4 linked regions of the Lytechinus pictus genome follow. The protein of the gene in region 1 interacts with the protein of each later gene in a pairwise test. Links are inferred from orthologs where the notes say so. Each region holds a gene or a part of one and is shown on either strand. Other genes may lie near its edges.

Region 1 (7,104 bases):
TCACAGTCCCATGTGTGCATTTGTATGTATGTTGATACTTTGTTTCTTTCGGAGCTGTGTCTTTTCTAGCCAAAAATAAACAGTTTCTTTCTTTCTTGTTTATACATGACTTCTTAAACCACTCTTGAGAAAGTAAATACTTTGGGAAGTCATTTCATTAATATGAAATGTGAATTTTTCCAACATTTTGGCAAATATAGGGAATGACTTTTCTCACACTTTTTTCTTCCAGGATATATAACTTATGTCATTTTCTTTTTTTTTCTTTCATTTTTTTATGCCCCTTCCCATTGAATAAGCCTGATTAAAGAATGTTTCTACTAAAAAATAATGCAAACTAAAGGATATAAAAATAGAAATGCGCCATTACCAAAAGATAAGTGAAAATTATTTGCTTGGCTTTTAATTATATTCCAGTCAGAATAGACTGTTAAAAAATATTTGTAATGGCTTCTTAATTTTTCCTCCTTTCCCCCATTTTTATATAAATTTTGTTTGATTCATTTTTCTTTTATTTTCTTTTGTTTATTTTATAGTCTAAATCTTTTTTCTCTTTTTCTTTTAATTTTTTCCTGTTCTTTGTTTTTTCTTCATTTTCTTTCTTTTGTTTTATTTCACTTATTTCTTTTATTATTATTGTTTCCTTTTTGTAATATACTTTTTGAAAATTATTTTTGTTTGTTTCCCCCTTTTATGCATTGTTCTAATTTTGCAGCATATTTTTCTGTGATTTTCTCCTGCTATAATATGATGCAAAAGAGAAAAAAATTAACTGGATTTGGGGCCTCCATAATCTAGATTTTAGGATTCAAAGAGGAAGAAAGGAAAAATCATTGTTTTGTACATCTATCTGAGTTTGCTATGCAGTATTTATTTACTTTTCCATTATGAATCTGTGTCTATACGGAGATTTTTTTTAAAGTCCACACAATTCATTTATTCTCTTTCAATCATTTCATATAAATGATAGAAGTTAGAACAATCTATATTTTACCACAAATCAATTAGCAAAGTAAAATACAGCAAACAAGGTTTACACACAAGATGTACAAAGTGAAAGTAACTTAGTGGTAGTGGCTGCAGAATTAATCTTTCAGAATGTTTAATGTTTTTTGCTTTATATTTTCCGGGCCACCAAACTTCAATATCGGGCCACCAAAAAAAATTATTTGAAGGTTTTGGTGGCCTGAACGGGCCACCACCGAAAAAAGTTAATGTGGAGCCTTGAATATTCAGTAGCAGCTATTCATATTTCATGTTCTATGTATATTCATAAATTATTTTATTGGTTGTCTGTGCTTATTAGAATATTCATTATTTCTCTTTGCCATGCAAACCAAGTATGTAGACATGTATGCAAAATAAACCCCCAAGGTTAAAATCGTGATCTGGCTCAGGGCAGATCTATACAGGCAAGCAGGGGGTGAACACGTGTATGTTGTACAACTCTTTTTGGATAGACCATGCCTAAATGTTAGCCCTAGGCCACCCTACAATTGATGGAAAATATTGGTGGCAGCATTATAAGACATTGTTATATTAAAGGGATCGTTTAACTTTGTGAGCAGCTGATTTAAAAAATTCTCAAACTGAGTTGAAACGTGCGTATGAGTGCCTGTATTTGTCCTCAAAAACCCTGAAACAGACCACAATATAGGATGAAAAACTCTAATTTAGATACAAGTAGCAATTTATTAGCCTGATTTTGAGAACCGTCTAGTAGACGGGTTCAGCTTATGACCAGTTTTCTCCAATTCAAAAAGTCTGTTGGCTATTTTGCCTGCCTTCTGTTGTGTGTATCTTCTATACACACACTATTAGCTGTACTGTACATTCAGTGTATACCTTGTACACACTGTATGTAGGTCATGCTGTGTTCATCTAGAATTAATGTGTTGTGGTGCACAGATTCCCTGTATACACATAGTCATTGAAACCAACTCCCAATTATTTCAAACTTTGGTTTACATCTCCAAGGTTTTAAAATTGATCCTGTAAATATAATACTTTGAAACTTTTGGGATGGTATTTTTACACTATAAGCCTAATGTTTAGCCCATTTTCAGGAACCAAAAGGAGAATTTTTTAAATCAGAACAAAGTGAAATGATCACTTTAAGCTGTCTCTGCATTTTATTTCATTATAAATTTGTTTACCTTGTATATATTGTTTTAAATTTTGAATGAATATAAACAAATTGAAATGTATATGACACGCATATAGAGGGCGACATGATATTGTGCTGCTGCGTGTCGTAGCTTAGCTACAAACAAAGAGGGCAAGATGGCAACGTAAACATCGGTACGTTACATCCAATCTTCTCATAATAAATTTGTTTTGTTTTTTTAATTTACATTGTTTTAAAAATGTAATCAATAATGCATAATTATTGGAAATGAAGTTCTAGCCCATTTACATGATTTAGGGCAAGAACTTTTACAAGGTAGAAATCTCGGGGGCGAAAGTTGCAACTTTGATCGTCCTACTTATACTACGCACATGATGGGCACAATTCCTGGCTCCGCGAGCCCGTAGTCGTGGAGAATATTTAATTTAGTTAATGATTTTTACTCCTGGCTAGGCACAAGCTAGTGCAAAATCATTTCATACACTGTCTCACAAAGACACAAGGCTCACACAGTCACAGTCATGACAGTCACGCCTACATATTGCAATTTGCATTCATTGTGCATTCTGCCATTCAATTGATCCCCCCTCACACATTCACAATCTCCATTCAATCACAGTGCACACAGTGCAGTGACAGTCAGGTGAGTCAGTGGGAGTGATTCTCGATACTCACTTTGCATCTTTGCCAGTGCTCGTCGTATCGTCGACTGATGTCGAGCTCTGCTGGTGATTTTTCAAGGCCTCAAAGGACCTGGCCAGCTTCTCCATGTTTGATACACTGACCGCTCGATTCATGATGACCGGTTGTAGTCAGAATTCACGAATTATCTTGAAATTTCCACCATCATCGCAGGCGAATTCACGGTAATCCAAAAGCTAGTCATCTTTAAACGTAAGAGGGCGGCAGATATCTGCTTCGCATTTTGTTCATGCAAATTTGGTGAAATAAATGAAGATATAAAAAGCAAGCTGAGGTCTCAGTTTTACATAAAAACTAAAGTAATTTTCTTTTCTTTAAACATAACTTAGATAGTGGGACTATATCATAGATAGAGGTATGGAGTATAATCACCTAGAGAAAAAAAATGGGCATGTGCTCTCTGTACTTGTTAACCCCTAAGGGGCGTGAACATCATTCTAGGTCTCGCAAAAATCCCCCCCCCCCCCAAAAAAAAAAAAGAAGAAGGAATTCAGCTGTGTGATATTGAGACACAACAAACACTTGCTAATTTTTAGACTTTTGGACATAAATCAAAACAAAATTATACGTTACTTACTAAAATCTAAGTATTTTTTATGATCAAATAATATCATATAGACCAGCTGGATTAAGTATCAATAATTGCCGTTTGTATCCATCACATTTCGGCTCTTGACACAACGATCTTTTTAAACCATCTAATTGTCTATCTATATTCAAGAAAATTAATTTTGGTATTATTATTCCCCCCCCAAAAAAAAAAAGGAATTCAGCTGTGTGATATTGAGACACAACAAACACTTGCTAATTTTTAGACTTTTGGACATAAATCACAACAAAATTATACGTTACTTACTAATCTTAGTATTTTTTAAAGATCAAATGATATCATATAGACCAGCTGGATTAAGTATCAATAATTGCCGTTTGTATCCATCACATTTCGGCTCTTGACACAACGAACTTCTTAAACCATCTAATTGTCTATCTATATTCAAGAAAATTAAATTTGGTATTATTATTTTATCAATTAGCCCTATACATTTCATTAAAATTGTATTATTTTATGAGAATCGCACAGTGATCCCATTATTTATTTGCCTGTGATATTCGGTGAATTTCAATAAAAACATACATGTAAATTTATGTGGACATGAGAAACATCTATCTATCTACATGTGTATTTTAAAAAATTAATCAAACTTGTTTCGATTTCTGACATAGATGGAATAGCTAGCTCCTCACAATGTAGAACACAAATTCATTTCTTGAATAGTTAACTATATTATGCAAAGATCAACTTAACGCTATGAAAAAATGGTGTCCTACCACATTCTTAAATTATTGGTATTTTCCTTTATGGATATCACAATAGTATGAAAATTCAATGTGGTATATAGGAAAGGTCTGGAAGAGAGATGGTTATTGAATTTCAAGACCTTGATTGATGCTGTGTATTTTCTATAAACTGTTAAATGAATGGCGGCGTTCCACAGTCAAAATGAGACCCATGGTGTTTTACTTTTGTCCATTATGTTGTACTGCAACAAAAAATTAATATGTAAAGGTTCGTGTTCTATTCTTTTTTCCTATAGGACTTTCAAGTTCGCCTCAGTAAATTGTATAAATCCTCGTAACTTTGTCAAATCCAATGTTAAGTTTGAAATACCCACAGCTTTCCGGTCCAGGATAGAACAACTAAAGGATAAAAGTGTTGGGACTGGGGGCCATGTGGCCATGTATTGTATCATGTTCATCATATCATTTTCTATCCTTATCTACTCAATTCTTACATATAGACGGACACAGAGGGCCGAAGCGCCCCCCCCCCCTGAGTTAGTAAAGCAAAAAAAGAGGAAAAAAGGGGGAAAATTGAAAAAACGAAGGAGAGAGGGGGAGGAAAGGATTTTTTTTAATTGAGTCATATAAACATAAAATTTTCGCTCGCGCTTCGCGCTCGCAATGCCTTTAGAGTGAGACAGTAATCTGCTCAAGAGGATATTATGAGGGATTATGAGGCCGAAAAGTATCACGTTTTCAAGTCAATAATTACAAATTATTCTGCTCGAGATTCGAGTTTTCATTATTTTGTTTGAGTGTGATACGCATCTAGTTCATAATTACATAAAATAATGTCTGGACTAGAAATGAGTCAGCTTGCGGCCTCGCCAGTACTGGGCCTTGCATGAGCCTGAGGCGCTCTCATTTTAATGCGATACGAATATCCTTTTGATTAAAATTCCTGAATGCCATTGAATGGTCCCTTTTCAGATCATTAACATCAAGTATTTAATTAAAGCTAGCAGCCTCGCGCTTTGCATTCACGGCATTGAAGATAAGCATCCTGTTCATGATTACAAAACGTACTTAAAATGTCCCGTTTATAGGTATAAATCGGCTAAAATTTTCAACCAGCGCTTCGCGCTCGCATCATGTGAGTTCCATATCCTCTTCACAATTTTCCTGCATGTTAAACAGTGTTTAAATGTTTAGATTCTTTCGTTTCAACACATAAAAAACACACTCTGGCTTCGCGCTATTATTATCTAGTTAGATACAATCCTTTCATGATTACAAAAAGTGCATAGCGGAATGTCCCATTTTTAGATTAAAATCTAAAAACCAAATAGCTAGGGCTTCGAGCTCGTATATTTTGTTCAACAGGGTTTTTTTTCGCGTCCGCATAAATGGTATACCTGTACATTTCATGGTTACAAAAAGTACCTAGTTTTCAGGTCGGAATATGAAAAAAAAACCAACAGCTTGTGCTTCGCGCTCTCATTATTTGATTATAGTGAGATGTGAATCATTTTTACAGTGGCGGCATCAGGATTTATAAACTGGGGGGACTAAGGGCAAACGAAAAGTATGGGGGAAGAAGGGATTTGTTTTGTTGTTGCGTATTTCACAGAATCAAGTGTGAAGAGCGAGTTTTAGTGACTTGGGTGCTTGGAATCACATTTTGGGGTATGGATCGAGGAGTCCAGGGGCAGATCACACATAGGCGTTTCTATTACAGTTTATAAAGCGGGATTTCGACTGCCAATACTCAATAGGAAAGAGGGAGTAAAACTATTTTCATGCACATTATATCCCCGATCACCCCCTAGAAGCTAAGTTTTGTTTATGTTTTATAGAATGGGGAGTCCTAACCAGGGTCATGGGAACGATTATTTGATTGGGGGTGCTGATGTAAATTTGACAAGCAAAAAAAAATACTACAAAATGAAAGTAATTTGAGTCCGCAGAAATTTGACAACCCCCCCCCCCCCCCAAAAAAAAAAGCTAGGGTGAGGGTCTGTACAAAATTTAGGTAATTTTTGTTACATTTTTCAATTTCGTCTCACCTTCCAATACCAGGGGGTGCTGCCTATATGGAAAATAATACACGCATCACCCCCAGCGGCCCCGCTTCCCAGGGCCATGGTCCTAACTAAGACTGGAGATTAGCATAGTTTATAGTTACAAACAAGATAATGTATCTCGCATGGCCTAAATGAATAATGCGCAGCGAGCTGAGCTCAATTCTTTCAAAAATATTTTATGTATTAATTAGACCCGAAAATTGAACATTCTGCGCAGTTTTTGTATATTCGAGAACGGAGCGCGCGCTGATTTTTATTTTTTATTTTTATTCATTGACTTAAAAAGATACCTGTTAAGGACTGTTTGCAGTGACTTATGAAAAAGGATGTCTCAACAAACAAATAATAGGAGCGCAAAGCGCGAGCTGATTTTTTTTTAATATTCCGAGTTGATAACTAACGTTCTAAGCACATTTTTAAAACCACGAACAGGGTGGGTATCTAATTAAACAACTGATGGGTGCGCCTAGCGCAAGCTGATATTTTTTCATTTAGCACTTTAGAACAGGATGTGTATCTTGCAAAAATCAAATAAAGAGAAGAATGATTTGTGCAGATTGACTTGAAAATTTGATATTTTAAGCCCCATTGAGTAGATCGCTTATTATTATACGCAACAGCCACTGCGAGCGCGAAGCGCGAGATAAAGTTGGATTTTTATATAGGCCTAATGTATGGAAGGTTAAAAGTGCCATCCAGATGTTCATATAATCATCTCGTCATGTTTACATCTCGTGTGAGAGATGATCAGATGACAAGATTCTTGATTTTGTCATGTCTTCATCTTATAGAAAAGATGATCAGATGGTTTCGTCATGGCTACATCCTGTGGGATAGATGTTCAGATGGCAAGATCTTGGATCTCGTCATGTCTACATCCTGTGTGAGAGATGATCAGATGGCAAGATC
Region 2 (6,953 bases), on another chromosome or scaffold:
TTACCTGGAGAAGACTCTTTACATTTTTTTAAAGATATTCTCAATTCGTACATGGTAAAGGGTTCATTAAGGACACTACTACCCTTAGCATCACCAAATGATGATATGATGTCCTCATATTTTTTAACAATATCTATTTGTTCAGGGGTAAAAACTTTGCCCTTAAAACTATCGTTTATGTTTTTAAAGTGGTTGGCGTAAGTATCCGCAACGTCATTGCCAGTAACAACGGAACTATTCTCTCTCATGAGAACAATGTTTTTCCTAGGCGAAATACCATCATTATTGATCCTTTTAATCATATTCCAGATCTCGGATAAAGGGGTAAAACGATCAATGTCTTGACAGTACTTTTCCCAGTAAACTCTTTTGGCTTGCCTTAAAGTTTTCTGGGCAATAGATCTTTTCTTCTTAAAATCCTCCAATAAATCTGGAGGGGGTATTACATAACTTTTCAATTTGCTCCTTACTCTATTTCTCTCCTTTATTTTAGAGGAACATTCTTTATTCCACCATGGTACTGGGTTTTTCTTAATATTCTTGGTAGCTCGATGTCCTTTCAAATTTTCCAGGGTAATCTTAATTGATTCCATGAAAGAATCGAACTCTATGACCTTGCCTCCTTTCTGTAAGGTATTCCACTGCTCATCAGTTTGCCGCCTAAATTCATCCCAATTTACATTCTTTGTGGATAACATTGAACTGATAGACTGAGAGTGGTCGATCTTTGTTTGCGTACCATTCCCTTTCAGTATGTTCAACTGGCTTAACAATGGATAATGGTCACTTCCAAAGCTGTTGTTCAGGACCTGCCACGTTGTTTTGTTCGCTGTACAAGGAGGGGCTAATGTTAGATCCAAACAAGAAAAATTATCCGTGTGGTAGTCTACTCTAGTGGCACTTCCATCATTTAAGATAACAAGATTTCTCTCGTTTGCAAATTCTTCCACTGCTTTGCCATTAGCATCTGTTTTTTTACTGCCCCATAATGTATTATGGGCATTAAAGTCTCCCAATATTACAAAGTTTTTCCCCCTCACATTTTTTAAAAGTTCATTCAGCGAATCTGTGCTAAGTTTGCTGCACGGGTTGTAGAAATTAACTACATTTAAAATCTCATCATCCAATAAAATTTCTAATGATATGATTTCCAGATCATCGTGTTTGATAACACCTTTGTAGTTTAGTGAGGAATGGACGTATATAGCGCAACCCCCTCGGAACCCTCCTTTTCTGTTCCTATATTCACATATATAGTCTGGTATCTGTAAGACCCTCCCCTCTTCTAACCAAGTTTCTTGTACACAAATAATTTCTAAGGGTCTTTTTTGTTGATTCAAAAATCTATTTAGCTCATCCCCGTGGCATTCAAGACCCTGTGCATTCCACTGGAGAATGCTGAATGCCACGAGGGTGATCAGACTAGTAGAATAGGCTGCGAATCGACTGTAAATCAACGTCTGTGGGATGTAAACCCAGAGCATCTTTCAAAATATGTGTTATTTCATCAAATGGATTACAGTCAGGCTTTGTTACTATTCTGATTAGTCTAATAAAGAAAGAAATAAGTGTGATGTCTGAAGCACCTTTCAAGAAATTACTATGCGTTTGGCCTACATTCTCAGACATTTTACTTGTCACCTCTGTTTTGGTAGAAAATTGCGAATCCGAGATGATTTCCATTTCGGTTTGATCAGAAACTGCATTTCCTTTCTGAGTGTTTATTCTATTAATTGGATTTGTTACTTTTTTAATTTCTGCCTTGTTTACAAAATGTTTTCCCTGCTTAATTTCCTCGTTTTGTTCGGAGCGTAGTCTCACTGCTTGCTTTTCCAGCATGTTTTAAATGCTCACAATGAGGCTCAATATCTATGATTTACAAAACTGTTTAAAGGGGAATCCAACCCAAATAAAAACTTGTTTTTATAAGGAAAAGAAAAATCAGACAAGTTGATAGGTGAAAGTTTGAACAATATTGGGCAAACAACAAGAAAGTTATGAGTTTTTAAAAGTTGTAAATATTGGTAATCACTATACCCATGGAGACTTCAAATTGGCCGCATATGGGATGTCATAGTGATGTATTGTAAGGCAAGGACTACTCTTCCATGTACTCCAATACATATTATGGCTAAAATGTAATTTTTTCAAAAAGTTTTTATTTCAAATTATATTTTTCTTTCATGAGGACATAAAACAATATACTACCTGGGTTATATTTAGATTACTGCCCCAGGGGAATGGGTACTTTAGGAGAAAACCACAAATCCCTGATAAATGTTTTTAATTTTACTCTCTGGGCCAGAGAGTAAAAACATTTATCAGGGATTTGTGGTTTTCTCCTAAAGTACCCATTCCCCTGGGGCAGTAATCTAAATATAACCCAGGTAGTATATTGTTTTATGTCCTCATGAAAGAAAAATATAATTTGAAATAAAAACTTTTTGAAAAAATTACATTTTAGCCATAATATGTATTGGACTACATGGAAGAGTCTGGGATTATTAATAATTATTATTGTCTCAACAATATTATTATCATTATTGTCTCATTATCATTATTATTGTCTCATCATTGAAGTGCTGGCTAGTTAGATGTGAGACAAAATTCAGTCTCATCTGCATCCACTGATCTGAATATTCAGATCAGTGAGTGTCTGTATCTCAAACTCAAAGTACACACCGCAACTGCAACAGTACCGGTAGTCGGTACACACAAATAAATATGTGGGGCAATGAAGAAGAACGAATCCTCGGACCTCAATCTTCATCACATAAAAATCTCTTAAACCGGCATTCGATACAATTATCTTACCTTAAAACGATAACATAATATTTTCTATAATCGTAGATGGAATCACATCAATCGAGAGACTTTGCAAGGGCTAATTCGTGCTTCTTTCTTAGGCTTAGCAACGACAAGCCATTCCATTCGTCCTTTTTTCTTAGATGTTATTTAGATAATTTATAAACGTACGTGCTTAGAGGGCGCGCGTCAATTCGTTACTCACAGAGATACGATCTTACGTATATACGTAAGCTCCCGAAGGGAGCTAGACAGTCAGACCGCAGGTCCCTATGCTAATGAGCAAAAAGGCCAGATTCATCCAAATCATCTCGCGGCTGAATCCTCCTCCTTGCAAAATCTCGTGATTCGTGAGATTTTCTTTCTCTAAGAATTTACCTGTTTTAACCTCAAGTTAAATGAGATATTATTGCACCATCAGATAGAGTAAAAGTTACTCTTTCATATTGGTCATTTATTTTGTATACAATATTTTGTTAAATAAGTAAATTTCTGGCCTGAAAATGTGCCTCAAAACTGAATTTTCTTCCTCTGTTTTCTTTTGCAAATTGTGCAAAACTTTTTATTTTGAGCCTCAATGATATCTATATCACCATTAAGCTGAACTTCTGTACTTTCTCACAATGCCACTCTTGATATGCGGCACCTTTTAATCGGGTCAAGATCACACTTTTCCCACCAAGGTACAAGACGAGATTTCTGAAATTTTGTACTTGCAAGAAATCCAGAGTTCTGATTGGCTGGATAAGGTTCACAGAACAACAGGCGCGGGGTATTTGAGGAGATTACCACATGGGAAGTGTGACCTTCCCACGAACCCAGGCACTGGGACCGTTGGAATTTGCCATTGTGTGGTCTCTTTGACCAATCAGAGTGCAGTATTCTTGTTTTCAAACTGCTTTATGTACTTGGCAAATGAAAAGTGTGATCTTGACCCGATTAAACCAATTCCTATTTTGAAACCTATATCATTTCAAAGCATATATATTCAGCTTTATCATGATATAAACATCATTTGGGCTCAAACAAAAATAAAGTGTGAAAATAGCAGCTTTTGTCAGGTGAAAATATTTATTTTGTAGCATATTTTAGATCAAAATTTTAACCTATATTACAAAATCTTTGAATAAATCCAAACACATGACCTAAAAGATTGATTCTTCTTCTTTACAATGGTACCAAATTCATGAAATTCGATGCACAATTAGAGCAGCAATGACCGAATAAAAAGAGGTGTTTTGGTCCGCATCAAGCTCATTAAATATGCGAAACATCTCAAGTCATGAATATCACTTGGATGAAAGAAGCCACTTTCTTGGGACCTGCAGTCTGACTGTAGAGAGGGAACTCTTTCCGCGCGTTTTTATTGCCCATAGGTTTTGTACATAGCCAACATGGCTGCCGGCGGACAATTTGAAGGATGATTTTGGAGGGTCAATGTTTTATTCATGAGAATGACGTCAAAATACGCATAATGCACTTGTATGATTGGATTAAACGCTAATGTTTTATTCATGTACTCATGCATTAAACATTTTTTTCCGTCCCACAATTCCCTACGATATCTGTGCGAAGTGTCGTTCTTTTGGACTCTGCGAATTTCTTTTTTTTAAACGAAATAGCTAGACTAATTATCTGTTTATAGAATTGATGTTCGAAATCATGGTTTCTGAGTGAACTTCATTGGAGCGGAAAATCATGGAGGGAACATCAATACTATTCTAATGACATTCCATAGGAATAAAAGTAAGTTACGCTCATTTTCATGTTTTGATCTCACTTGCAAATTGTAATGTGTTTGCCGGGGTTCGGGGCTCATCGCATCCTGTATTACGCACTATGTAAACCTCAATTTCAATATTTCTTTTGCCTGACTTCCAAATAAGTGTGATCATTAAGTTTCTAAAAAATACTATATCTAGGGGTCTATAGTTTGTCGTAGATCTAGACATTCATCGGAATGCTTCATGTAGGTCCAAAGTAAACCTTTATTTCAGTTTTATTGTGATTAGACAATTATCAGGGGTAGATGTGGACTTGTTTCCGACCTCCTGTTTTTTAGTAACGACAAACTGTCGATTTTAGGCCTATTCAAATTTAGGTCAATGTAGGGATATGGTCAGAGCGGGATCCGGCCTTTGATATCGCTGGTGCTAGCCGGCTAGCGAGATTGTCGATGTAGTCATGGGGTATAAAAATAGCGGGGACGGACTAGGCCCAAACTTCAAGCTTGAAAGTTGAAGTTTAGGCCTAGTCCGTCCCCTCTATTTCATCTTCATATGAATAAGTATAATTCTCAGCAGTTTCTTTTATTCAGGAACGCTTTACTTCAGAATAATCAGTGTTGAAATACGATTGACTTAGCATTAATATCTGTTATGTTAAGTGTTACTTGTCTTACTCTTAGTCTTAGATTTGAATGAAATGGCGTAGCCTACCCTAGACCTAAATCAAGTCTATTTGAACAGGATACCCTGGGCCTGGCCTGGGGTGGTAATTTGAAAACGTTCTTAGTGTTTACTTCATTCAAATGTGATGTGATTCTTAAGTTATACAGGCCCAGCATAGACCAGATTCAGCTATATACAGCTGTAGAAATATGTGGTTGGAATCATTTTACTTTTATAAACAGAGTGAGGTAGGCCTATGCCTCGGCTCTATGTAATAGAGAATGAAGTTTCGGGTCCAGATAACTTTTTTGTTCTAGTTTGGAATATTCATTCATAGACCTGGGATATGGGCAGCTGGAAATTTAAAAAATATTGTTTAAGAAGAGTAATTTTATTTATCTCTAAAACTCTCAAATTTAAATTGTCAATTGCAGATCCAATGGGACCAAGTTCTTAGCAGTTCACACCTAGTCAGAAGTACAAAATTGAGAACCATGCCGATCAGCAAGTGTTAGTTACAATCTAATGAGGAACAGGATATCTGAATGGAAAAAATTGCAAGGTATGCTTACTGTTTTGATAATATACAGGCTGTATCTAAGCTCATCACCCCCCCCCCAAAAAAAAAAAAATAATAAAACCAAATAAATAAATATTTCCCCTTTTTGGGAGGGGGTGGGCTATGGCCAATTGTGCTGAAACATGATGCGATATCATGTAATGTTAAAGTTCCATTGTGAGTTAATATTTGTTTGAATTCAGATTCACCAGTATTTCCATTTCTAACACTGCATACTAATTATCCATATCTCCTGTCTATACATGCATTTGCATAAAAAACCCAAGATATTAACAGTTATCACAAAATTCTGATAAATATTTGAATTAATTTGCACTCTTTATTTTCAAAACATACTGTAGATAGTTATATTGATATATGAATTTATCTGGATGTGGGACGAAAGTGACTGCATGTGCCAAACTTGTTTTATCACTGAAGATATAAAATAGAGTTTACATCTTTTTTTACTAAACTGGACTAGATGAGTAAAAATAATTTACAGCTTATTATGTTCTTTTCTCTATTTTACCCTGCAGGTTTCCCACTTCCTAAGCTGTTTAAGTACTGGTATCACAACATAAGTGCCAAGAAGAGATATGAAACGGTCTAAAAAAAATTTGCTGGTGCCCCCCCGATGCCGTGACCCACGGTACGCCACTGCAAGTCTTCATAAATTATGTATGGTTATTAAGTTGCATTTATTGTTATCTTCATTTTTTAAAAAATGTGAAATGGGCTACCACTGCAATAATATATAAATAGACTATATTTCAAAAATAGATTGAATTCTAACCACAGTGACAGTAGACAAATCAAATTTTGTTAATGATTCGCTAATGTATTGAATGGGGAAGGCACTCTTTAGGATTCTGGCATTGTGTCCCACCCCCCCCCCCCCCCCTTATGAGGAGTGCTCTCACATCAGTAGACTATTTGTCAGCAAATTTGAAAGGAATTTACCAATTTTTTTGAGTGACAAACTTTTGTGGAAGAAAATAAACGAATATCAAAGGTTTTTATGCTCTTTTATGGAATATTAACTATAGGCTCATCGAGATCCTTGAATGAAATTTTAACAAACATTGTACAATGTAGAAAAATGTACTTAATCCTATTTTTGTACATTTATATACCCACCCCATACTATCCTTACTCAGTAACAGCCCTTTTTAGCTATGCATTGCCTTCATTTTTTT
Region 3 (7,148 bases), about 3.0 Mb from region 1:
CCCCGGTGGCTCTGGCTCTGCCGCACCGAATGGGCAATGACCCTTGTCTGCAGCTGAATTCCGTCTCCCTCGGCCTCCCAAGCGAAATTCAAGATAAAAAAAATCTGAACTGTGCGATAACTGTATAAAATACTTACCAACAGCATACTTTGCCTCCTTTGTTGGAACCCACCCCGTCATTGTGTCATGCATATATTCCAATTTACTAGCAAAGAAGAGAAAATCTGCTTCCAAACACCGTCTCAGCGCGCCGGTAGATGCTCCTCTCACTTCACCGAACCTCTCCCGACGTCGCCATGTTTGATGAGTGAGTGATCCGATTGTCAAGTCATGTGATTGGAATTTATCCAATCACTCATGCGGAATCCCGCACATTATTGAAGGGATTCAGGGAAATCCCATACAAGTTTTTTGTTGTAGTAGTATTGCTCAACTCCACAACCCCGGGGGGGCCAGTTCCATTCACGAGTGGATACCATGCGCGACCATGGGGTCTCGAAAAGCACCCTAAACACGTAATTTCCATATTCTGAAAATGCACCCCTTAACAAGTATTGGCGTGTGAAACCCTACCCTTAACAAGTATTGGAAACAAAACGATACCCTTGGCAAATATTCCCTGAAATGAACCCCTAAACAAGTACATGAATGTTTTATTGTTACGGGTCTTTCGGTCGTCGGCTTTACCTAATTTGGTTTAGTACGACCGCATCTTCTACATCTCGCGAAAATTGGACTCTAAACACGAAGTGTTGGGGCAAAAAGGACATCCTTTATAAAACATTTTAATTTTGTTTTATCATCCCCGCAAATTCGACCCTAAACACGTAATTGTCCTAGCGAAATAGATACCCTTTTTTCATTATTTTTGTGTTTTTGACACCCTTATCACGTTACGTACGTAACGTGCCCTATCGTGAAAAGGACATCCTTTTTACGTGTTTTTTTGGTCGCGCATGGTATCCACTCGTCAATGTAAGTGGCCCCCCCGGGTCCACAACACATGCCCTCAACAACAACATCAACGCCCACGACAACAACCGCGGCGACAACTTCCGCAATAATTATATTACACTCAGCTCATCGCCAAAGGGAGTAAGATGGTGGTTGATGACCCGGAGTGCCTAAGATGGTGATGATTTGGTTGTTGTGAGTGGTGGTCCGAGTGGTGGTGATGGTGGGGGGTGGTGGTGGTGTCGGTGGTAGTGATGGGGTGGGGATTATGGTTGTGGTAGACGTGTAGGCCCACCGGAGTGCAGGTAAACCAGATGGTGGTGATTTGCTTTCAGTATATTCATGGATGTTTCATGCCGGGGATTCATCGGGTTTCATGACAGTGGTGGTAATTATGATTATGACAGTTGTGATAAAACATGGTGGTGATAATCTGTATGATGATGATGGTGGTGGTGGTGATGTTTTCTTGGTTAGAATTTTAAACAAGTTGTTTAAAAACCTTCAAATAATCAAATAATTGTGTAAAGTCTTAAAAACTTGTTACAGCATTCATAGCTCGAGAAAGTGCTATATATATATATATATATATATAATCTTTCACAAGAATCATCAGTAAAAGTATAACGAATGCGCTGTATATTTAGTGAAGTGTTATTCAATTTATAACAAAAACTTAGGACGGAATCTTTTTAATTCCTTGCCACCTTTATTTCGAAATTTATCTGCCTTTCTTTTGTTGTTTTGCTAGTTTATCCATGGAGCTAGGGGACATGGTTTATCTATAATTTGCCGTATACTATAATGAAAGATCCTTGAAAAGGGTGGATTTATAGATGGCGCTATACTAACATTCTGCCCTGGCTGTCTCGAGGAGAGATCCATCAAAGAAGAAAGATAAGATTATAGATGGAATTTTAAGTTAGTGTGATAAAAAAAATGAAATATTGTTTTGCATACTGGGCCATTTTTATCTATTTTTTTTTTAATTGTAAAAAGGGAAATGCTTAGAAATTGTAGCAGTACTGATAAAAAGATGAACACTATCAAACGAACATTTAGAAATGCGATCACAAAAAATGCAGCCCGTTATATTTTCAATTTGGTTTTTATTTCATGTCAGTGATCTTTGGCTACTAAAGAGCCTTAAATTAATGTACTATGGTCCGTGTAAAGGGCACTTAAGACGGTCTTTATCAGAAGTGATTAGATACATTGCTTGAATTGAGATCGAGGAACATAATATGCCTTATAGGGACATAATAATTATGTTAGGCCCCTAGACAGAGGGTTCTAATGGAACCCCCGCTGCCATGGACCCGTCCACAGAGGATAAATATACTGTTACTTGGGGTGCTGAGCATTGTCACAGCACCCCAAGTAATAATAAATAATCCTCCTCCTCCGTTGCCAGGTCCATGCCCGCTGCAAACAGGAAAATAGGGGGATATGATATAAACACTAAACAGTTAAAAAAAACTAGCATAGCGCTGAAAATTTCATCAAAATCGGATGCAAATTAAGAAAGTAATTACATATTAAAATTTCGCTTTATTGTTCAAAAACAGTTTTAGCACAACTCAGTGACCTACTATAGAGAGATTCGATTACATTCCTCACTCATAATTCTTTTGCTTTTTATTGTTTGAATTATACAATATTTCAATTTTTACAGATTTTACACTAAGGGCCAACTTGACTGAACCATAAAATGCTACGATAGTAATTTGATATACAAAATATTCATAGATGATTTTTTTTTTCCAACGACATTTTCAAACAATAAAATAACTGAGAAATTGTGAGTTGGTGACGTCATCAGTCCCCTGATACCGACCAGGATGCGCATATAGTAACTGTTTTGTTAAAATAAAACGAAACTTGAAGATTTCATTACTTTTTGATGAAATTTCCAGTGTGTATATGCTCGTTGGATTTTTTTTTTTTTATTCAACTAAACTTTTTTTTAGTTGGGGCGGACTTGTCATTTAAAACTTCAGCTTTATAGTGGCCAATCGGGGGAAAATGTGGACTAAAATATAAATGTGTCCGCCCTATATTGACCAAAGCTGGATCCGCCCCTGAAAAGGCTGAAGCAAACGGAACTGAATATAAACTACAAAGGTTCACTTTTTATAGTTAAGATCCCCCGTCCAAAAGTCCTGGATTCATTTTATTGATGCCTACAAGAAACATTAAAAAAAAAAAAAGATTTTTAAAAGGCCCATGCAAAAAGACCCACACGAATTGAAGGAGACAGTTAGTGGATACAATATTATTATGTGCGGTATATCTAACAATGGAGAAGATGGGGGGAAAAAAACCTTATTCGAATATGTTGGAATAATTGAGGATACTGTTGTGAGGTTGATTTAAAATGTCCTCAATTTATCTGATGCCGAAAACGAAATACTTATTAGGCACAGACGTCCACACTATAGGGTCTACAAAAATAAAACAGTGGCCTGTCAGCCCTGCCCCAAATAGGGCAACTTTTCGCATAGACCAAGGGCCACACTTTTTCATTGTTACAAAATCGGGAGTAAGTCTGCCCCGGCACTCTCACCATGACGCCTTCTCTTCTCTCCTTTTTTTTAAAATTTTTTTTTTTTATTGAATTATTGAGCAACGGGGTCTGAAGAAGTGCGGAATCCTTTGATATTGAAAATAACCAAAGAAAACATCAAAATTACTGTGATAATCATAATCATGATTGCATTAATTTTTTTGACGTATATACTCAGGAGCAGAGGCGTATAATGAGCCTAAAATTTTGAGGGAGCTATAGATGTGGCGTATCGCGTAAAATTTATTTAAAGTTGCGAGGGAGCAAAATTTTTTATATTTTCGTGACAAAAATAGAATTTTGTGATATATGTTAACATAATGTTCAGAAAATGATATCATATTTCATCCGCCTCCTTCTTTCTTCCCTTTTCTCTGTTCTATTCTTGGTCGTACACCAGTGCTCGGGAGCACACTGATCGAAATATTGGTTCACCGACTTTTTTTCTTTATTATTTTTTTCACTTGAACTTTGAACTTTATTGAAATAACGCCTTTTGGTCCCGTGGGAGCAAATTAAGGCTTTAACATATTACATGTACATGATACATGTATATAAAGGTTTAACAATAGTAGTAACGTATTTACAATTATTATACAGCAAAATACAGGTGCCACAGTCAGAGATACGATCTTATAAAAGCGCCCTCTTCGCTAGTAATTAGTCCTGGAAGAACATTAGAATTCAGCAAAAATGCCTCTCGAAAGTACGGTAGTTTGGTAAGTAATGACACTTTATTTAATGAGGAATGATATCTAAATTTGAATATATTGACTTTCAATTTCTAGAGCATGTCGATAAATGTAAATATTGCATTTTAAGCATTTTTTCGGAAGCAATGTTGCTGAATCTTTACGCTCAATGATTATGCATTTTTCATCGTCTTATATCGGTCCCACGAATTGCTTTTAATGTAATGTTTACATTGCTGCGGTGTATTTAAAATCCAATTTATGGGGAAGAGTTCCATATATGCACCCTAGCCAGGAGGCTCCTGGAGATTAATGTCATATCACTGACGTGCTTAATCTCCATGGAGCCAGGGACGGGATGCCATTGCTTTACACAAACCAAGTAATTTGGCAACAATATTAATCATGAATTCATGACCATGTTGCTCCAAAATTAAACATGCAATGTTAGGCAAAAATACACCCTACTCATTTTCTTTACGTTAGGCTTAGCCTTAGGTTTTGTCTTTTGTTTGAGCCCAAACTTATGTTAATGGGCTACAATACTATTTGTAAGCTTTTAGCACTAAAGTCTTAAAGAGATATTTTTTTATATAATTAAACATAATAGAAAATATTAAAAGTAGAGCCAGCACCAGACTCCAGACTCGGAGTCCAGAGGAGCGTTGTCTCAGTCTGTTATTGTCGCCATCTTGCCGTCTTTGCCTATCGTAGCCCACTCACACGTACACGTATTGCGAGGTTAGTTGCACCATGAACCGCGTTTGGCAGTGGATTCCTAACTAGTGGGTCGCGTGTGCTGGGATCCCACTTCTGGTGTCCACAACACACGACTTCTATGGCTTGATTTTTCTGTGCGCGGCGGCATATAATGAACCCTTGAGTGATCGTAGCCTAGCTACAAAGAGGTGTATAGAGGGCAACAATATCATCATGAGCAGTGTCAACTTAGATTTTAAAAAATACTTGCATTGGCCGATAAATATGAATCGTTAAATACTTGGCTTGCATCGGCCGATAAATGTACAATTCATGATACTTCATCGGCTGATAAATATCATGAATCATGATATTTATTGGCCGATGCAAGTAATTTTTTTATCTAAGTTAGCACTGCTCATGATATTGTCGACCTCTATAGGCGTCTTGTAACCAGGCTACGATAACAAAGACGCCAAGATGGCGAAAATAACAGAATGTGAGTAAACGCTCCTCTACTTTTAATATTTTCATTCATTTTATGTGTAATGTTATTTTAAAATATGACTATTTTTGAGCCAAACGGATTGAAATGATATTGTAGCCCATTTACATAAGTTTGGGCTCAAACCCTAAATTAAATGTGCGATTTCCATTAAGTTAGAGCGTGGCAACTCTTACTGTACGTGTAGTGCAATGGCATCCCGTCCCTGGCTCCATGGATATTAAGCACGTCAGTGATATGACATTAATCTCCAGGAGCCTGCTGGCTAGTCTGTGTACTACATGTAGGAGAAATAAAAAAATAAAAAATGTTTAAAAACCCCTTGAAACAGATGGCTGCCAGCTGTCTAGACCTCTATATGTTTGGTGTGAGTTGTGGTGATTGACTGTGCTGGCTTGTGGAATAAGTTTGCCATGTCGAATGGTAGAACATGTCGAAATCTGGGTTTGTTACTCTATAAGCTTTCAATTAAAATATGATTTGTCAATTTCACTTTGGGTCCCGTCAGACTCGGGGTCCTTAATTTCGCTCTTTCTCATCTTGTCTTGCTCTTTTAGCTTGGTCATCTTATTATTGACTGCCAACTTTTTGTTATTAAAGCATAGCCATGAGAGCTATATCTTCACATACATACATGTATGTGAGATTTCAATGTCCCCCTCCTCCATGTAGGTTGAACAAAATTTAAACAGTTTAGAATATCTGATGAAGGCACCGTCCTTTCATATCATTTATGTTGTTTCTGTGTGTTTAAACAGTGTTGACACCAGTGAATACATGCGGAATGGAGATTTTCTTCCAACCCGCATCCAAGCACAGCAAGATGCAGTCAATCTCGTATGTCTCTCCAAGACCCGCTCTAATCCTGAAAACACTGTTGGTCTTATCACCCTCTCAGAGTGAGTATTGTCTTCAATTTTTTTTTAATTGTTATTATTGAATCATGGTTGAAGTAATTCAGCCTTTTGATTAATAGGAGCAGTATGATTTGATTTTTTATTGGTGCATCTTATTATGTCATAATGTTACTTCCAAAATTCTTAGAAATAACATCCAGGGAGATATACATGTAGGTGTCAATGCCATAAAATGCAGGCAAATCATTAAGCAAGTACACAGATGCAAGTTTTCAGACAATGTTCTGCATTCAGATTTTTTTCAGGCCATGAGTTATTTTCATTTTAAATTAATCATTAACTATAATTCTAATCGATTTTTTTTCTCAGGCCCTATGTTATTGATTACGATTCAGCCGCATGTATCTGGCAATGTTGGAATGGATACCATCTGTATAACAGATGAGACCAGAAACATGTATGAGACTAATTATGCAGTAGGATGCCATGGTAGAGAAGATTAATGTATTGTCTGTCTCCAGTGCTGTGATTCTAATTTCATCAATAATTGGAAATATGAAATTTTCCATGATAGACTACTTTAATGTAAAGAGGAAGCTTGATATGAGATATGGGATAAATGGTTTTATTCACTTGGTCTACTTGCAGATGGTCTAATTCTCAGATCATCTTCTCAACACAATGGATCTATTTAATAGTAGACCAAGTGGGTTTAGCCATGATTCATGGCGTAACCCACTTGGTTTACTATTAATTAGATCCAATGGCCACTTTATTCAAACATATCTTGGTCTATTATTGACATTGGGCTAACTACCATTTAGTTTATTGTGCAGATGGTCTTATGTCCACTTCATTTAGTGATTTTTTTTCAC
Region 4 (6,899 bases), on another chromosome or scaffold:
GTGTTTAAGTTAAAAAATATTCTCCCAACAAACAAATTGATTAAAATATTTAATTCATAAATCCTCTCCCATTTAAATTATTGCAATGTCATTTGAGGAAATACCTACAAATACAGAAACACGTAGCCCTGTTAATTACAAACAGCATTATTTATCCTCAACTTGGTATGTCACTGTTTTTTAAAACTGAAAATCATAGAACTGCAACTTACTTGAAAAAGATTAAAACACTGTTATTCATGTTCAAATTTCACAAAAACCTTTTACTGCACGTTTTTACATGTTCAAAACATATTCTACAGTTCATAATTACCCAACTCGTCAAAGCAAAAACTTGCACATTCCTCTTTGTCATTCAACATTGCTCTATGATTTTTATCTTTTGTTGGGATACATGAATAGAACAGTCAACATTGCAATATAAGATCTAGTACTAAATTAGTAGTTTTAAGTACAACAAGAAATATGTATTTAAAGTAATTTTTTATATGGCTGAGTAGGTTATTCATTTCTTTCATCTTCTTTTATCGCTCTCTATCATATTCTATTTCCTCTATGATCACAAGCTGTGTATGTGTTCAATGGATCGATAAACGCATGTGATAGGGAGGTGTGTAGAGTCTATACATGAGTATTTTTATGTAGGGCATAGTTTATAAGCAGTTTTTCTTCTTTTCGGTCCTAACCATTTATAAATTGTTATTTATGTATGGTATCTATTCATTCTTACACGCATCATGTTCATGTACTTTGTTGATTTTAAATGGTCAAATAAACAAAATGCCATGAAAATGAAATAGGTCTCACCTTGTATTTTGAGTTTTTCTCCCAAATGTATCTGACATGCCATGCCCAATCTCAATTGACATTACAATGAGAATATCATGCAGAAATTTCTACACTTGTACTTAGAATTAAAATTTTATAAAGATCTACAGTAGGTCGATTTCAAGGCTTGACATTAGCCGTTTCCCGGTTGGCCTTACCTCAGGCAACCAAATTTGAAAAATGCTAAATTTTGGTGCTTGAATCGGGCAACCAATCAATTTTAAAATAGCACAACTTTTCTCCCGATTTTGCACATAATTTATCAACTTTCTACAGTTCAAATTGCAAGCCAGATCGTCACATGCCTTTTTCTTTGATTCACAAACAAAAATTTTGCATACAGTCTTGTTATGACAGTACCGCTCTAGCATAGATATATTCAGCTGCGGCAGTGCTTAAAGCCAATCGCAGCTAGCTAGCAGCCTATGCACTCAGGGAGCTGCGATACGAAATCTTGCTGCTAAAAAATCTTTCACAGAACTTTGAAAATCTAAGTAAAAGTCATATTTTACACCAATATAGTCCATATTGCTATTAAAAATCTGGTGTACCCTGATCATTTGCAAGCATAAAAGGAGGAATTGTCACCTCTCTTTTGACTATAAAAAAAGATTAAGTATCAAATGAATCAATACACACAAATACACATAGGTGAGTACATCACAGACCCACCTGTGTTGATACGTGGTTTCTTTTGAAGCTCTGTCTTTTCCAGCCAAAAATAAGCAGATAATTTCTTTCTTTATTGTTTATAAATGATTTCTTAAACCACTCTTGAGAAAGTAAATACTTTGGGAAGGCATTTCATTGGTATGGAATGTGGATTTTTCTGACATTTTGGCAGAAATGTTATTTTTATTGAGTGAAATAAATAATAAATTGAAATTGAAGTCCTTCGACAAACCTAACCAGGAGGCCTCTAGAGAGTAAAAATCATGTACTAACGTATGCTTACTCTCAACGAAGCAAGGCCAGGGATTCGATTGCATTAATCTACCAGTAGAGGCGCACGGCCAATATTGGAGACTGTCTCCAATGTGGGAGATTATCTCCAATATCAGAGACTTTTGTAAAGAATTTGGGTATCCAATTTCAGAGACAGTCTCCAGTTTTGGAGACCAATTTCCTTTGTTTACATTTGCTGCAAAAGGATTACCTTGGCGGCAAATAAAAATGTGATAAGCGGATTCCTCATGAAAAATTACCCCTTTTCACTGTCTACTTTAAAAATTCACCGTCTACTTTTGTTTTGATAAGGATTTTTGTTGTAAATCACACACAAAACAAATGGGCTTCTGACCTCAGTGAGACAAAATTTTGGGTGGAAAAAATCATGCTTTTGTTGGTGTTGTTTCTTTTGTCCTTTTGCAAAGCAAGTCTCCAATTTGGGAGATTGTCTCCCCTATTGGAGTTAGTCTCCCATATTGGCCGTGCGCCTCTACTGTCTACAGTACACGCACCGCCAAAACACCTCAAACTTTTGCCCCCAAAATTTCTACTTTCCTTCTAAAAAGTAAAAGGTCTAGCCCTAAAATAAATCATGTACTGGGGACTACTGGTACATGGGATACAACTTCATTTCCGACATTTCTACGATATCAACTTCATTTTTAAACAAGAATTCAATTTAAAAAAAGAGAAAAAATTAACACCGTGTTAATTACGTCGCCATCTTGATTTGTCTTTCGGTTTCGCTTTTCGACAGCACGCAATTCGCACATTTTCATCGCGCGATTAGCGTGCTGTCGCCAAGCGAAAGACATTGAAATCAACATCGACAAAAATCTATTGCGTAAACACAGTTGTCATGTTCATAGTGCGAGGTTTAACGTTAGTGCACCAGCCTTGCCTCCTCGATCACGTGCATCAAGAGAAGCCAGCACCGCGCCGTAGGCCTGGCTACGGGTACGTACTGTACCGTACCCCCGGCGAGTTTCCGGGGCTGCAACGCCTTCATATCGCATCATTCAGCTCAGCGTAACTTATGTAAAACTACCTCCACAATTACTTCTTTAGCATTGTAATATTACCTGGCTTAGGCTGGGGTCTTGGAGGTGCAGGTCTAGCAGGTGTCGTCATAATGGTTACAATTTTAATTTCTCTCTAAATAGAAGGAATACACAAAATATATTCCTATTCCAAGATGTAAACAAACACGGAAGTGAATATTGAAAAAATTATACTACTATACGGTATCGTTAACGTTAAAAAAAAAAAAAAATAGGGACAACAGGGCGAGTCGAAGTGGCTTTTCGCCAGCCGATTCTTCACGGGTCTGGGGCTATGGCAGGCGCGGATCCACGGGGGGGGGGGGGCCGAGGGGGCCTTGGCCCCCCTCCCCCCCCCCCCCCCTTGGCAAAAAAAAAGAAGAGGGAAAGAAAGAGAAAAAAGAGGGGAAGAGGGGAAGGAAAAGAAGAAAGGAAGAAGGGGAAGAAGGGAAGAAAAAAGAGAGAGGAAAAGGAGGGAAAGAAAAGAGGAAAGGGGAGAGGGGGAAAGGAAAAGGAGAAAAAAGAGAGAGGAAGGAGGAAAGAAGAGAAGAGAGAGAAAGGGGAAAAGAGAGAGGAAGAGGGGGAAGGAAGAAGAGGAGAAAAAAAGAGGAAGAGCAGGAAAGAAAATGATGTTTGAACCAAAAGGGCGCCGAAATGATGTTTGAAGGAATGTCAAAATGATGTTCGAATTGGGGGCCGAATTGATGTTCGAACGGGGGGGGGCGAATTGATGTTCGACATTGGGGCGCCAAATTGATGTTCGAACTAGGGGGGCGCCAAATTGATACTCGAGCTAGGGGGGGGGCGAAATAATATTCGAACTAGGGGCGCCAAATTGATGTTTGACCTACATGTAGGGGCGCCGAAATGATGTTCGAAGGGATGTTAAAATGATGTTCGAACTGGGGGCGCCAGATTGATACTCGAACTAGGGGGGGAAGGGGGCCGAATCGATGTTCGAACTAGGGGGGGGGGTGCCAAATTGATACTCGAACTAGGGGGGCTCAGAATTGATGTTGGAACTAGCTAGGGGGCGCCAAATTGATAATCGAACTATGGGGCGCCAAATTGATGTTGGACCTACATGTAGGGGCGCCGAATTGATATTCGAGCGCCGAAATGATGTTCGAAGGGATGTTAAAATGATGTTCGAACTGGGGGCGCCAAATTGATACTCGAACTGGGGGGGGGGGGGCGAATCGATGTTCGAGCTAGGGGGGCGCCAAACTGATACTCAAACTAGGGGGGCACCGAATTGATGTTCGAACTAGGGGGGCGCCAAATTGATACTCGAGCTGGGGGGGCGAAATGATATTCGAACGGGGGGGGGGGGGCGTATTGATGATCGACCTACATGTAGGGGCGCCGAATTGTTCCTCGAACTAGGGGGGCGCCGAATTGATGTTCGAACTAGGGGCACCACATTGATGTTTGAACTAGGGGGCGCTGAATTGATATTCGAACTAGGGGCGCCAATTTGATGTTCCAATTGGGGGCGCCAAATTGATGTTCGACCTAGGGAGGCCAAATAGATGTTCGACGTTTGAGTTTGAGAGGATGGTTCGGAGTAATCATCCTCACTTGTTCCCAATGCCAGAGGACCTATAGTCGAAAGTTTGATATGCAGAGGCATGAACAAAAAGCTCACACTGATACAGAAGATGAAGGCAAAATTGAATCTTCCTACGCTGAAGAAGGTACAAGTGAGGATGATTACTCCGAACCATCCTCTCAAACTCAGGGAGTTGAAGAATCTAGTGATTCAGAAAACGAAGGAGAGGATGAATCGTCAATGTCAGAGACAGATAACGTAGATGAAATTGAAGACAACATTGCTTACCGAGTATGGTTAAAGCAGGCCATGACAGCCACCAAGGACTTGAGAGACGAAAAATATCAGAAATATATCTCAGAGGGAATGGAAGAAGAAGACGCTAAAGAAAAGGCTCACGTGAAAATACTGTGGGCCGTCAAACGCATCTTTTTCGATCTTTACTCCAAGTTCTTGCAGCAGAACGTTAGCCTAGGAGAAGCAGGCATCAATCACGAGATCGTTTCTGATCTCAAGGAAAGATTAGAAAATGGCATGGAATTCCAGAAAGCCGTACAAAGAGTCTTAGCCAGGCATGGTCCACAATTTGATGGTTTATTCCAGTTCCCAGATGGAGGTGACGATGACGACGATGATGAAGAAACAGAGAGTGAGGATGGAGTCTACAACTAAAGGCACAGCACCACCTTGTCAACAAAATAATCCAAGAACTTGAAAACTCCGTCAACATAAATGACAGATTGAACTCTATTATTTCCATCGTCAATATTCATACCAGCCATAGGTCTATACATGGATTGTGTTACAGCGAAGATATGACAGTTAGCAATTATTTTGTCTACAACATACGTTTACTACATAACTTCGATTACTTTTACCTTTGTATCAAAATCTGCTTTGTGTATTATGTCTGGACTTAAAATGGAATAAAAAATGAATAATAATAACATATATTGTACAGTGTTCTATGTTATCACCATGTGGGTAAATGGAGTTGACCTGAAGCTAGTGCCATCTACTGGATTATAAAGTTATCATTAGAAAATGACCTGTGTGAGTTAAAGGAGAATGAAACTCTTGGAGCAAGTTAGCTTTTGTGAAAGCAGAAAAATCAAAGAATAAGATCAACAAAACTTTGAGAAAAATAGGACTAGCAATAAAAGAGTTATGAGCATTTGAATGTCGAGATCACTAATGCTATGGAGATCCTCCCATTGGCAATGCGACCAAGATCTGTGATGTCACACACGTACAACTCTCCCATTTGGACACTGAAAATATACCCCAAAACATCTCTTTTTGCTCATTCTAATCATATGACAAACGATTCATCAATGATATAATGTTGTGAAACCTCTGTACTTGTCATCTCATAAAGAGAACACCTCACCTTGTGATAGACTCTATAAAAGTGAGAATATAAGTGAAATAAGTACTAAAGTAATGAGGGAGTTGTACGTGTGTGATATCACAGATCTTGGTCGCATTGCCGTTGGGAGGATCTACATGGCACTAGTGATCTCAATATTCGAATGCTCATAACTTTCTTATTATTCATTCAATCTTCCTCAAACTTTCAACAATATGTTTCTTTGATTTTTCTCTTTGATATGGATTCAGCTGGTTTCAAGGGTTTCATTCTCCTTTAAGTAAACAAATGGATGTTAATGTTGATGATGAAAATGTGCATAAAAACTATATTGATGTAAAAGATAAATGAGAGAAAACGTATAAACATGATTGTAAAGGAGCTGGTATTAGGGCTCGAGTAAGATGGATGGAAGAAGGAGAAAGAAGTAACAAATACTTTCTCGGGTTAGAAAGAAATAATGCTAAGAAAAAAGAAATATCACAAATGAAACGTGAAAAGGATCAGAAAGTTATAACTAGAAATGAAGATATTTTAGAAGAGGTTGTAAATTTTTATTCAGAATTATATAGAAAAAAAAATGTGAAGAAAATGACATTAATTGTATGAAAAATTACGTATCATCTAAAACCGTGCATCAATTAACAAATGAAAGTAAACAGATATGTGAAGGATTGTTAACACATGAAGAATGTAAACTTGCTATATTTGCAAAGCAAAAAAATAAGGCACCCGGATCAGACGGACTTTCGATTGAATTTTATCAAATGTTTTGGTCTTTGTTGAAAGACCTCCTTGTAGAAAGTCTGAATGACTGCTACATGTCAGGAATTATGTCAGATACTCAGCGAAAAGGTCTTATCACTTTATTATTCAAAAAAGGTGACTGTAAAGAACTTAAGAATTGGAGACCTATTACATTGCTGAACTGTGATTACAAAATAATAGCAGCTGTCCTAGCTGTCAGAGTCCATAAGGTTGTTGACGAAATTACTCATGAAAATCAAACTGGGTATATAAAGGGTCGTCTCGTCTATCAGCTTGTAATGTAAGGTTAACAAAAGATGTTATTGGTTTTTTCAATAAGCATTGTAAAACAGGTGCTATTATGTTAGCAGACTTCACGAAAGCTTTCGATGTTTTGAATATAGAATTTTTAAAC

The links.
Region 2: the proteins of huntingtin-like (region 1) and tetratricopeptide repeat protein 23-like interact in binary tests that used the Homo sapiens proteins (3 or more experiments, as listed by UniProt). The link is inferred for Lytechinus pictus from reciprocal best matches to the Homo sapiens genes HTT and TTC23.
Region 3: the proteins of huntingtin-like (region 1) and 26S proteasome non-ATPase regulatory subunit 4-like interact in binary tests that used the Homo sapiens proteins (3 or more experiments, as listed by UniProt). The link is inferred for Lytechinus pictus from reciprocal best matches to the Homo sapiens genes HTT and PSMD4.
Region 4: the proteins of huntingtin-like (region 1) and osteoclast-stimulating factor 1-like interact in binary tests that used the Homo sapiens proteins (3 or more experiments, as listed by UniProt). The link is inferred for Lytechinus pictus from reciprocal best matches to the Homo sapiens genes HTT and OSTF1.

The regions. Positions count from the first base shown.
Region 1 is NC_087256.1:7,276,420-7,283,523, forward strand, and holds the start of huntingtin-like, read right to left. Parts: upstream 3,033-7,104; 5' UTR 2,926-3,032; coding exon 2,804-2,925; intron 1-2,803.
Region 2 is NC_087247.1:10,752,548-10,759,500, forward strand, and holds the start of tetratricopeptide repeat protein 23-like, read right to left. Parts: upstream 3,009-6,953; 5' UTR 2,815-3,008; intron 1-2,814. UniProt on the Homo sapiens protein: Participates positively in the ciliary Hedgehog (Hh) signaling.
Region 3 is NC_087256.1:4,230,000-4,237,147, forward strand, and holds the start of 26S proteasome non-ATPase regulatory subunit 4-like, read left to right. Parts: upstream 1-4,135; 5' UTR 4,136-4,213; coding exon 4,214-4,239; intron 4,240-6,174; coding exon 6,175-6,315; intron 6,316-7,148. UniProt on the Homo sapiens protein: Component of the 26S proteasome, a multiprotein complex involved in the ATP-dependent degradation of ubiquitinated proteins.
Region 4 is NW_026974140.1:5,291,268-5,298,166, forward strand, and holds the start of osteoclast-stimulating factor 1-like, read right to left. Parts: upstream 3,026-6,899; 5' UTR 2,908-3,025; coding exon 2,859-2,907; intron 1-2,858.